Linked DNA regions of Rattus norvegicus. The protein of the gene in region 1 interacts with the protein of each later gene in a biochemical or structural test. Links are inferred from orthologs where the notes say so. Each region holds a gene or a part of one and is shown on either strand. Other genes may lie near its edges.

The links. The genes of interacting proteins can lie anywhere in the genome.
Region 2: the proteins of Ep300 (region 1) and Smad4 form a complex in vitro, tested with the Homo sapiens proteins (2 studies listed by BioGRID, with this or other methods). The link is inferred for Rattus norvegicus from reciprocal best matches to the Homo sapiens genes EP300 and SMAD4.
Region 3: the proteins of Ep300 (region 1) and Nfkb1 form a complex in vitro, tested with the Homo sapiens proteins (2 studies listed by BioGRID, with this or other methods). The link is inferred for Rattus norvegicus from reciprocal best matches to the Homo sapiens genes EP300 and NFKB1.

What each region holds. Positions count from the first base shown.
Region 1 is NC_086025.1:114,986,118-114,990,742, reverse strand, and holds the start of Ep300 (histone acetyltransferase p300), read right to left. Parts: upstream 2,887-4,625; 5' UTR 1,917-2,886; coding exon 1,823-1,916; intron 1-1,822. UniProt on the Homo sapiens protein: Functions as a histone acetyltransferase and regulates transcription via chromatin remodeling. Acetylates all four core histones in nucleosomes. Histone acetylation gives an epigenetic tag for transcriptional activation.
Region 2 is NC_086036.1:69,525,549-69,529,558, forward strand, and holds part of Smad4 (mothers against decapentaplegic homolog 4), read right to left. Parts: intron 1,783-4,010; coding exon 1,599-1,782; intron 933-1,598; coding exon 764-932; intron 1-763. UniProt on the Homo sapiens protein: In muscle physiology, plays a central role in the balance between atrophy and hypertrophy. When recruited by MSTN, promotes atrophy response via phosphorylated SMAD2/4.
Region 3 is NC_086020.1:226,690,327-226,694,336, reverse strand, and holds part of Nfkb1 (nuclear factor NF-kappa-B p105 subunit), read left to right. Parts: intron 1-24; coding exon 25-202; coding exon of another isoform or gene 203-489; exon of another isoform or gene 490-3,748; coding exon 3,749-3,909; 3' UTR 3,910-4,010.

The sequences.
Region 1 (4,625 bases):
AGAAAACCCCAGCTCCCAGCCCCCACCTTCGCCCCCTCAAAAAAGACTCCAGTAATTGCATTCAAAGATATGCAAAGCAAGTTTTGCTTTTTTTTTAAACCATGAGTTAGCCAAAAGCTATACAATTTAGCAAAATACATAAATCAGACCAAGAATGCAATAGTCCACCTGAACAGAAAGGTATGAACAGACTTTAAGATTGAATCACTCAAATCAGAACATCAAAAATTTTCATTTTAAAAAGTTTTCCATACAATATTTCATGTTACTGGTTATGTCAAATTTGGCAACTTGTGAACATATTACAGAAGTACATTTATTATGAGGGTAGGGAATGAAACAAAAATGCAAAGCGAATGTGTCTATAAAATTAATGTCTATGCCTATGAATTTTAAAGACATACTTTTAAAAAATTTCTTTAAGACCTCAGAAACTTTACAGCTGAAATGCTCACATATAACTAAAGTTAGAGCCTTAGAACATTGCCAGACTCATCCTCCTTCCCAACTGTTGCAGCTAGCAAAACTCATGGTTCACAATACAGCTGCTAAAAAAGCAGAGTAAAGCACTAGTTCTATCTTATTTTCATGCCTTCGTCATAAATCCTACTGAGAAACATGGCCCACACGTTCTCTACAACTCGCAGGATACATTTAACTCCATTATACACTCCGCGGGCAGATCGAAGATGTTGAGCCTGTTCTCTGAGTTCAAGAGATGCTTGTAGTAAGGGGGAACATCTTGTGGACTGTCAGATGACCAGTCATTATTCTTCATCATCCTGGCCTCTCAAACAAGTCAGACAGCAAGAGGACCAGGTCGGTGATCATCAGAATAACACTAAACTAACAGTAAGTAGAAAAAAGAACAGACGGTGGAAAGTCTCCCTGCAGGTCTCCTAACAAAGGGGCTGACTGAAGAAAAGAATTCCTTGATCTTGAAAACTGAAATTGCAAAGGTCCAAAAAGTAAATCAAAATAAGCATACAAGCACAAAACCTACTGTACATTTTCAAACTTGTACAGTCACTTTAGTTGGAAGTTCATGACTGGGACTCTTTCAACTTCTTATCTCCATTTCTAAGTACCTAATTCCAGAAAGGCTTCATCTTTTCTCTTTCCCTTCTAAATAAGAAGGGTGACAACAAACTGCAAGGGAAATGCCTCAGGTCTCCTCACCTGATCAAACACCCAGTTTGAGACATTTTGGTTTCACACCAAATAGATATAAAATAAACTGCGGTCCATACTGATTCTTGAGCCAAGGATGGAGAGGGGACTTAAAAAACAGTATTTTGTTGAACTTTACGTTACACTTAAAACCTTGTACTGCACACACCAAGATTTGTCTTCCACCCCCATTCCTTAACAGAAAATCTGCTTCACAGGAGTAAAAACCTTTAAAGGTGGAAAAGCAGAGGGAAAAGAATTAAGTGCAACAGGGGAGAAAGATTTGAAAACCTCATTCGCCAGTAACAAAAAATAGTAAAAGTGCATAAAAGCCCTTACACACAACTGTACCGGCATTTCCCAAATTAAATTGCATGGAGCCGACAATAAAGGTCCATGCAGCTCCCACTTCCAAGCTCTTAATTCCAGAACACACAACCATCTGACATGACATAGTGTTGCAATGAATGTATCAGAAGGCAAAGAAAATGGTTGGGCTGCTGGACGTCTTCAACCAGTCCATTCAAAATCCTTTAAAATTAAACACCGGCCGGAGAAATAGGAAGAGATACACAGAAATACCCTAGAATGAAGGTGCAACCAGCAGAAAAGACGAAGGGAACTATGGAAGGCCGGGAGTCCCGAGACTAACCTGTGCCATCGCTGGCGGACGCCGAGAGGGCCGGAGATGAGAGTTTAGGCCGCTTGGCTGAAGGCGGCCCGGGTTCCACCACATTCTCGGCCATTTTTAATTCTTTCGGAGATACAACCGAGGAAAAAAAACGAGAATCCTGAGGAAATCTCTTCTTCGAAACGGGGTCCCCGCCCCGCTCCTAAGGGTGGGCTCCGGAGCTCCGCCGCCACCCAAGAGGGGTGGGGGAAGTTCCTTTTTCTCTTCGCCTGGTTGCGGTGGCCGGAGAGGGATGCGGACTCAACAGAAATGGTAGGGGCAAGTGCGAGGGGCCGGGCCTAAACCAGGCCGGGAGGAGGGTACAGCAACACTGATCCCACGAGCACGTCCGCTGCAGCGAATTCTCGGGAACTCACAGCTCTACAGACGCAGTCCCCAGCCCGCCACAGCGAGTCCCTGCCCAGCCGAGGTCTCTCGGAGCTCCGCCGCCGCCATCAGCCTCTTCCTCCTCGGCGCTGTCCTCCTCCTTCTCATCGCCACAAGGAGGCGGGGGCGAAAAAAGGGGGAGAGGAGGAGGCGACCAGAGACACTCACCTCCTCCCGGTGCCCCCTCCCGGGCTTGCGCCCCCACCCTGCGAGCCCTCCTCCTCCTCCTGCCGCTGCGCTCTGCGCCGCTGCTGCCGCACCGGCCCCTAATGGCCGCACTGAGCTCACCCGAGCCGAGAGCCAGACTGGCGCCGGAGCCACCTCACATCGCGCAGCGGACAGCGGAGGCGCGGCGACGAAGCCGAGCGTGGAGCTCGCCGGCCCGAAGGGCCAGGGGGGCCGGGCCGAGCAGGGCGGCCCGCCCGCAAGCCCGCGCCGACGCCAAGCCCACCGACGCGGCCTCTCCGCGCGCCGCGCTCTCCGCCTCCACTCGCAAGCCCGTGGAGGAGAAATAAGTACGGCCGCCTCTCTGGCCCTCACGCCCGGCAGCCAGGTGCTGGGAGCTCCCGCCCCCCCCCGGGGGCTCGGCTCGGGGGCCGCCCTGGACGGCGGGCGAAGGCGCCGCGGGGCGCGGGGTTATGTAATGGTCCCCCCTTAGGCGTCGACGCCGGCCCGGGCTGCAGTGGGGGTGTGTGCGGGCAGGAGGGGGCTAGGGGTCGCCTCAGCCTTTGCGCCCCGGGCCCCCAACCACTGTCTCGGTCGCGGCCGCTGCTCTCCGGCCTGGTACCCCCCGCACTCCCTGCTCGCGCAGTTCGCACTCAGCCGGGCGTCCCGCTTGCCCCACTCTCGCCCGGTCCCTCTCGCTCTCTCCTCCCCCCACCCCCCCACAGGCTAGCACACAAACAAGATGGCGGCTGTTGTTTCTTGCCTCTGCCGAATCCTCCTTACAGGATAGCGGTAGCGGCGGCGGCCGGAAATGAGCCAAGATGGGGGGGCGGGGGAGTGGAGAGGGGAGGGGCCGAGGAACCGGGGGCGGGGCGAGGGCGGGGCCTCCTCCTTGCAGCTCACACAATGGGGGAAGCGGCGCCTGGGGGCGGTGCCGGCTCCAATCACGGGATCCGCCCAAGGGCCCAACGCGGTAGGCGCTTCCGCAAACTCCCCCGGCGTCATTCGGTGGCTCCCTTTAAAGGGGAGGTCTTGAAAGAGGGGGGCTCCGGCGTAGACTTAGAACGTATTTTCGGTCGGTGGACACTTAGGTTCCTGGGCTGGGTCTTTGCGCAGAATGTAGTCGGAGCTCTGGCGCTCCTCTGTGAAAATGAGCAGAAACAAGTTGGAGCGCCCGGGTTTTGCCCTCTCCGGTTGATCTTTGGAACTCCATTAAATCCGCCAAGCACCTGTGTGTTCAGGATAGAAACATTCCACACTCTTCATCGCCTTTTCGAAAGGAGCAGTTCATTTCTCAAAGTCACATTGCTAGTCCTTTAAGTTTCCTCTTGAAATGTCTGATTCAAAAACGAAAAATTTGGACTAGGATAATATTGTTAGAAAAATGGGGTGGGGAGGAACCACAGCAGTGGGAGGCTGTTTAGGACTAGACCGTACATGCATTTTTTTTTTTTTTTTTTTTTTTTTTGCCTATTATGTGTCTACACATCCTTACCAGCAACCACTCTTAGAAAAAGAATCCTTGAGAATATTTTTCTGGACCTGCCTGAAACTTCCAAGGTCTTTTGAAGGTATTTCCACCCATCTCTAACAGATGAACTTAATAAAAGAGCACTTTCTGCAGTGCCTTAAATATAAATATGGGAGAGGACAAAAAAATGTCAGGTGCTAAAAATCCATAACTCTAGAAAAGAGTGAGGAAATGCTCCTAAGAAGCTAGTGTTAGAGCAGTCCAATTCGAAGCAAAAAAGTAGGGAGCATGCTTTTAGGGTTCTCAAATTACTGGATTTCTGTGTTTGGGACCCTCAAATATAGGGAAAGTACCAAGGCTGTATGTGACACTGAAGGAAAACTTCCAAGATATTACCTACTGGATGGGTAGTAGGCTTGCCTATTCTTCCTGTGGCCTGAAAAGTTCAGTCACCAGTACTACCAAGAAAATAAAATTTTTTTTCTCAGATTTGTTTTTTAATTATGATTATTTACCTTGTGTGTCTCTGTTGGTATGTATAAATGTTTGAACATATATACCCATGACCCACGTGGAGAGGTCAGAGGACAACCTGGAGAAGTCACTTCTCCTTCTGTACCCATGTTATGGTTCCAAGGATCCAACCAAAAGCTGGGGCTGAGCAATTGTTTCTACACTTGCTGAACCCTCTCATCAGGTCATATTTTCTCACATTTCATATCTTGACCTGTTTTGCTAGTGGCCAGACATCCTCCATTTTTG
Region 2 (4,010 bases), on another chromosome or scaffold:
TGTGCACACGCTCTGTATCTACAGTGCTACATTCTCTGTAGCTGAAGCCCTTCCTAAAGAAGTGTTAAGGCACTCAGTCCCACCATGTATGACTGCTGGTAAGAAAGGAGCTCAGGATGAAAAATCTCAAATAAAATACAATTAACTCACTGCACCTATATTTTTCTTCCCAAAAGAACAAGTGTTAAAAATAAAATTGAACCGTGCTTAATATGTAAAAATAAAAAGGAATCTGTTTCTCAGCATCGTAATTTGCAGTTTTACGAAGGGATGAGACACTCCATCCCTTGACACAACTTTACAGCAGTCCTCCATAAACTCTTAGACACTGGCCGAAATGAAATGTTAATTTTTCACCAATTTCGTGTTCTAGAATATAGGTTTGGAGATTTTTAGTCAATGTTTTCAAGAATTTATGTATTAACTCTAAATGACTTCGAAAATCTGAAACCCTAGGACCACAAAACGAGCCAGCTGCTCCCAGTTCAGCATAGAACCCGAGCAGGAGCGCACGCTGCTGTGGTGGAGCTGCCGCTTGTTAAGACGGAGGCAGCCGAGGCTGGCCTGAGACTCACAAGCCCAGATGCCGTGAACTCAGGGGCCTTCTCCTGCCGTCCAGTGACTGTGCCCACTACAGCAGTCTCTCCTCCTCTGGACAAAACAGGTCAAACTCACACAGCCTTCTACTTCCTCACCTCTGTTTCCAGACTTCAAGCAACAGAGGTTTGTAAGCCTAAAATATTTACACGTAAAGAGGACTGACCTTTATATACGCACTCGGGTAGATCTTGTGGACGGCGTCACCAGGTGCTCGGCCAGCTTCACGGTCCAGGTAGTAACTCTGCACGAAGACGGCGTGGTCACTGAGGCACCTGACCCACACGTCCCCTTCACCTTTACACTCCAACTGCACTCCTTTGCCTATGTGCAACCTCAGGAGGAAAGACAGAGCCACATTCACCTCGTTACAGCCTGTCTCAGCTCAGGGCACAGCCAGAACAAAGACTGTAAGACAACACCTCAAAGACAGCCATTGTTAACAACTCTTACACAGTACTTACTATATAATAGTTCTCATACAAAGTTCATTTAACCAAAATAACACAGTGATGTAAATTCTATAGTTTTAAGATTCTGTGTGTTTTGGGAGAGGGCACCATGAAGGTCAGAGGTTGGCATCAGACCCTTTGGAGCTCCAGTTACAGGCAGTTGTGGTGCTGAGAACTGAACTCTACTCAGACAGTAGCATGTTTTTAATGACTGACCCTCTCTCCAGCCCTATATCACTTCTATCACAAAGCCATTTAAGATCTATGTAAATTCAGCTATTCACTCACATGAGCAATGCTTCAAGTATTCAAAAGCCATTTATGATTACCAGCTGTCGAATGGGATAGCAGAGACAGAAAGCATAGTTATGAAGCAAAGAAAGCTTGCTTTTTTTTTTACCTCTATATTTAGCAAGTACCTACAATTAAAATGGAAGCTCACAAGTTCTAAGTATTGAAAACGACCTTAACTCTATATTTAAGACTCCTATTCATAGAAAAACAATAGTCTTGAATAAAAGTTAATGTACTATTCAATTTTTACCATACCTTGCTCTCTCAATAGCTTCTGTCCTGTGGACATTGGAGAGTTGACCCAAGCAAAAGCGATCTCCTCCAGAAGGATCCACGTATCCATCCACAGTTACAATAGGACAGCTTGAAGGGACTTTAAATGTCTCTCCTACCTGAACATCCATTTCAAAGTAAGCAATGGAACACCAATATTCAGGAGCTGCAGAAGACAAAGGAAAAGGAACATGCACCCCTGTGACAGGTATTAGGGAGGGAGGCGCTGACTACACCAAACAAAACTAAACCAAGATGAAGGGGTAATGGGGTAAGGAAATGAAAGAAGTCTACTAAAAGAACGTAGTACACTTAAAGAACAGTGATTTCCACATTATACTCACAGTACTTATACCCTGACACTCTAAGGACCAAGTCACCTGAGAACTTAACAACATCAGAAATCAGACTCCAGCTGGGTGGCAGTGGCGCATGCCAGCACTTGGGAGGCAGGGGCCAGGGGCCAGGGGCCAGGGGCCAGGGGCCAGGGGCAGGCAGATTTCTGTGAGATAGGCCTGCTCTACAAAGAAGGGCTCCAGGACAGGCAGGGCTACACAGTGAAACCGTGTCCTGAGAAACTACATAACTAAGTCAATCAGACTCTAAAATAAACTGTTATTATGATAGTTCATTCTATTGCACATCTGTTCTGTGGTCTGAATTTTCAATTTTAAAAACTACACCAGCCCTAATACATAGTCTTTGTTATGTTTTTACATAACAAAGGCCCTAATTAGAAAAGTCCCTAAATCAACATATTCCTGCTTATACTTAAAATTATGTAGTTATTTTACAGGGAGATTACTGTCTCTCAAAAATCAAAGGTCATTCGCCCCACGTACACACCCCATGTATGCACGGTGTATTTCTAGCAACTGCTTCAGTGAAGCAGTACAACTTCAGCTCTGAGCACACACTTAGCTTGTCATGTGATGACTGTCAGGTGGCGTGGGGGAAGAGACAACACTTGGTTTGGGTTACAAATGTAGTTATTTACTTCTGATTCTGTTTGTGTTATTAAAGGAAACTCATACATGTAATTTTTTGTTTTCCTTTTATATTTATTTACCACCTATCAGGAGAATCTTTTGGTGATACACGGAAAACAGCAAATGAAAGAGTTTCCAGTCCCTCACAGATCTACCTCAAGCAGGTTCAGGTCAAATGAACAAGTGAATGTGAAATGCACATCATGAGTAACATTGCAGAGAGAATCGGAGGGGAAGAGGGAGGAGGGAGAGGAAGGAGAGGGGAAGGGTAGGCAGTGGAGGAGGAGGACAGACGGGGGTGTAGATAGGGTGGTAGAGGAGTGTCACAGAACAGAAGATGGCTGGAGGTCACCAGCTTACAAAGTTGAGGGACAATCTACCCGAAAAGTTGGGACCTGAGTAAAAAGCTCTGCACTGGCCCCAGAAGAGGAATTTATGAGAGACTAGAAAAGGAGTAACAGTTCTGTCTGCAGACTCCTCTGTATCATGGTATGTTATAGTACATAATAATCTGAATCAAAACTTTCAACAATCTAAAACATTACTTAACATGACAAAAAAGTCCCTCCCAAGGAAGTAATGACACTTAAAACTTAAAAGGAAATAATATAAATATAATACTAATGAATGAATTTCCCAAGAGAAAAATGTAATTGAGCCGAGAGTGGTAGATGTACACCTTTAATGCCAGCGCGGAGGCGAAGGCGGAGGCAGAGGCAGGTGAATCTCTGTTAGCTCAAGGCCAGCCTGGTCTACACAGTGAGTTCCAAGAAAAACAGGGCTATGTAGGAAAAAAGAAAAGAAAAAAAAAAAAAAGAAAAGAAAAAATGGAAAATTTTAATTAAAAATAAACAAACAAAAAACCTAAACAAAACACTTTATAGGATGCTGGTTAATACTGTCAACAGGATCTACAGTCACCTAAAAGACAAAGCTTTGAGAATGTCTGTGATAGTCTCTATACTGGGTCAATAACTAAGGTAGAGAGACCCACTATAATGTGAATGGCACTAGTCTAGAGAGGCTACCACTCTGGACTGAAACAGGAGGGGAGCAGGGCACAGGTACTGCTTCCTGACTACAGATGTAATGTGCTCAACTCCTAACCCTCTTGCCACAATAACACCCTAACTATGACAAACTGCACCCGAGCTGGAATTAAACCTTCCTTTCTTATGTCACACATTTCCTCAAACAAGCACAACAGAAGCACAGTACTGAAAAGTGGGGTCATTGCTGTGATCCGCTTGACCACGGGGTTCTTAAGCCTCGGGAACAAAGAAGAATGTGGAAGTTTGGAACTTTGATCTGGAAAAACCCTAGAATGCTGGACACGGAGCTTAAGGGGTCATTCTGGTTTAAGTTTGAAAGTAGAATGCCAAGAGAAATAAAGACAGTTAAGCCC
Region 3 (4,010 bases), on another chromosome or scaffold:
ACATACTCTCCCTTTTCCTACCAGGTCTCTGGGGGGACCATCAAAGAGCTGGTGGAGGCCCTGCGACAGATGGGCTACACAGAGGCCATTGAAGTGATCCAGGCAGCCTTCCGCACCCCGGAAACCACAGCCTCCAGCCCCGTGACCACTGCTCAGGCCCACTTGCTGCCTCTCTCGTCCTCCTCCACAAGACAGCACATAGGTAAAGAGGCTGAGAGGTTTCCTTTCCTCTCCGGCAGGGTCTCTGTGCCCTGTGACATGGCACGACACTTCCTTTCCCTAGTCTTTTCCTGGACAGGTCTTCCTACGTGGCATGCCGCTCAGTCCCCGCCGTGCTCCCGTACACACAGACCGGCAGTTCCACAGACACTCACATTGGCATATGTGTCACTTAGAATCCCAGGAAACAATGGACACTGCTTCTCATACCTGTTAAATTTAGAGAAAGATTCTAAGAAAGATCCACAGGGGTCACAGGACAACGAGTAGGACCCAGAAAATATGCATACTGTATGACCCTTCCTTCCGGGCCACCACCCCTGGGTCCTCCACCTCCTCCCCGCCTCGGGAGTCTCCTTCCCTCAGCTCCTGCCCTGCTCGTGGCCCTGACTTTGTCTCCCCACAGTAACAGCCTTCCTGTCGTCCCCCCACATACATCTGTACAAATGGATCCTGGGACAGACCCTGAATTATGTCTTGCACTCTGTCTGTGCTTTGTCCAAACTTCAGCACCCTTTCTTTTTGTTCACTTTCTACCCTAACCACAAAACTCCACTGAAACCAGGGAAAGCTAGCAGTACCCAGGCGGGAGGGCTCAGAAGGTGGTGTCTGCCCCAGGGAATCTGTCTACCACCTTCAGCAGGCCCTGGATACCCAATTCTTGTCTCTTTGTCCTGTTCTGTCCGTTCCTTCCCCACCTGCTGTGGATAACCTAGTTGATAGGATATAACTTCTCATCTTTAAAATCAGAAATGTAGAGAAAAATAAGACATCACTTCCTTGTTACATCCTTAAGCTGAGTTCAGGATTCTCAGAAGAGTATGAAAGCCACTGCCTACCTCACTGCTGACCCCTGGTGTCCGGTTCGGTCCCCACCTCTCCTAGGCTCTCCTCCAAGTTGCCTGATTTGGCCCTCATCCTGCTCCTCTGTGGCTGCAGCAGTCATAGCTGATAGCCCTCACTAGCAGTGTCTACTCAGGACTTCGTCACCTCGCACCCATTCTGTCACCCACACCCACCCTGCTGCCTCCTCCTTACCACTGTGCATAGGCAGGCCCAGTCCTAAGCTTCCTCCTCTGCAGAGACATCTGTATATCTGTGCATGTATGAGGCCTGTGTGTACATGTTCATGTATGTGTGCACTGGTGTCCTTACAGCCTTTTTATACATACTTAGTTCTGGTTTTTTCTCACAACTCCACGCCTCCCATCCCCCATCCCTGCCCCTGCCCCGTGTCCCCACTTGGACCCTCTTCCTCCCTGTCTCCCCATCTCTCTCCCCACCTTCACATGTGTTCTGTTACCCTCCCTACGCTCACATCCTTTTAAAGCCTGTTTCCCACCCCCTGAAGGCCCCTTCTAGTTCTCTGGCCTCTGCCCACACTCACTCCCACATAAATACGCATACGTGACTGTTGGAAGCTGGGATCCGCACGTGAGAGAGAACGGTATTTATGTCTCTGGGCTTCCTTGATTAGTATTCTCCAGTTCCATCCATTTCCCTGCAAATTTTATCTTTCTTTATGGTCGAATAAATTTTATCATCTGCACACAACTCCTTACTCTTGCACAAACTCACACTGGCCACGTCTGTCAAAAGCATAGCCAGGCTATGACAAAATCTTCCTGGCATCCAGTGCCTCAGGTTCAACCCCAAACGTTTCCTCACCTCATGGCAGATGCCCAGCTCAGCCCATCCTCAATGCTTGCCTGAAATCCACAGTGGCTCCTAGTCAGCCTCTCTGTCCCCTCCGTCCCTCCATCTGTCCTCTGCACCACACCGATGTGACGTGATGGGGCTCCTATCATAATCAAAAACTAAATACTTAGCAGCTAGGAACACAGTGAGGGTGAGAACCTAACTTTGACCTCTACTGTATCTTTGGGAGGGCCCAGGAGGGTGACAAACATGTGTAATCCCAGTAGTCTGCATGGAGGAGGAACAGACACTGAGAGGGGCGGATCCATGGGGCTCACTGGCCAGTCTCAAAAAAACAAGATGGAGAAGGACCAAGGAAGTCACACAATGTCGACCTCTCCCCACATGCACACATGTGCACACATCCCACAAACACAAAGTGAATTCTTAAATATTGTATTGCATTTCCCTAGTTATGACCAACTTACAAGAAGAGGTTTGGTTGGGCACGAAGTTTATAATTTCTATTGCCTTCGGGGTAGAGCAAAGCCCTTCATCATGGAGGAAGCATGGGGTAGAGGAATCCTACTCATTGTCCAGGGGTGTGGAAGTGCAGAGAGATGGGGAGGAGCCAGAGCACCGGCTCTATTTCAAGGCCACACCCTCAATGACCGAATTTCCTTCTTTGAGGCTCCACCTTCAAAGAGTTGCATCACCTCCAAAGAAAGTCACAGGCTGGAAGCCAGGCCTTTACTTAGCACACGCCTTTGTAGGGCATTGTGATAAAGAGTAAGCCTCTAAATACTGCACAGGCCCCGTTACATAACAGCAAATAAAGACAGCTGATTGGCTGAGTTAACAGCGGCACAGGACTCAGGCATGGCCATGGAGTCTCAGTGTTCCGACACTAAGATTCAGTGACGAGATTCGAGCCTTTTGCTTAGTCAGTGTTGGACTTCTGTTTCTTCAGTTGCTCTATACAGAGATAATCTGCTCTGGTCAGATCCCTGGGGATAAGCTTTCAGTATAGATACATTTTTTTTTTAATAAAACAGCCTCATTGTCTTGCACCAGAAAAACCATTTTCCGCACTGCGTGTTATTTAAAAGTCCGTTCAGCGCAGAGAGGCGTCATTTTTAGTTCCTGCTTCTCTGAGGACTTGATTTTGCCGTGTGTTCAGCAGTTTCCCCAGCTGTAAGAAAGTAAAATAATAGAGCAGTTAGGAAAACACGCCTCATTTTAAAAAGGAAAACGTGTTTATTCTGAATCAAGAGAACTCAGAGCAGATTCTGACAAACAGAAAGATGGACTCTTGGCCCGCTCTGACCCTGCAGCGGTGCCTAACGTCATTCGACAGCGCCTGCCCTTCACACGGCCAAGCAACATGGACGGCACGGGGCGGGACGTGTGCTGGGTGGAAGCATATCCTTCCGTACAGTAGCCCACCGCAGAGCCTGGGAAGGGAGCCCCGCTTCCACCGCTGTGGAAGGTGTTCTAGTTCTAGTATGGTGCTGTGACTACACTCTCTGGGTTTCTGTCAGCTGCCAGGTCATCCATCACTGACGGATGACAGGGCAGGAACTCAAAGAATTTGAGTCAGAAACTATTGAGGACTGCAGCTGGCAGCCTCGAGGCTCACGCTGAGCTCGCTTTCTTACACAGCTCGGGACTGTGCTGTCTACAGTGGCCCACATCGGTTAACTGTCAGGACCGTCCCCTCAGACATGCCCTCACACCAGTCTCATCTGGCTGGTCCCTCATTTGCACCTCCTTCTGCAGGTGATTCTAGACAGTGTGAGGTTGACAGTTGAAGGGCACGAGGACAGCAGGCAGAACGAAAGCCTCGCCATGGCCTAGCTCAGCCCCTGATGAATCTGTGCTTTCTCCTCAGATGAGCTCCGAGATAATGACAGCGTGTGTGACAGTGGTGTGGAGACATCCTTCCGCAAACTCAGCTTCTCGGAGTCCCTCACTGGAGATGGCCCACTGCTATCTCTGAACAAAATGCCTCACAATTATGGGCAGGATGGACCTATAGAAGGCAAAATTTAGCCTGCTGGCGGTTCCCCACACTGTAAACCAAAGCCCTGAAAGGCCATCATATCGTTCCGAAGGAGAAGGCAAAAAACGCATCCCAAGGTGCTGGAAGGTCA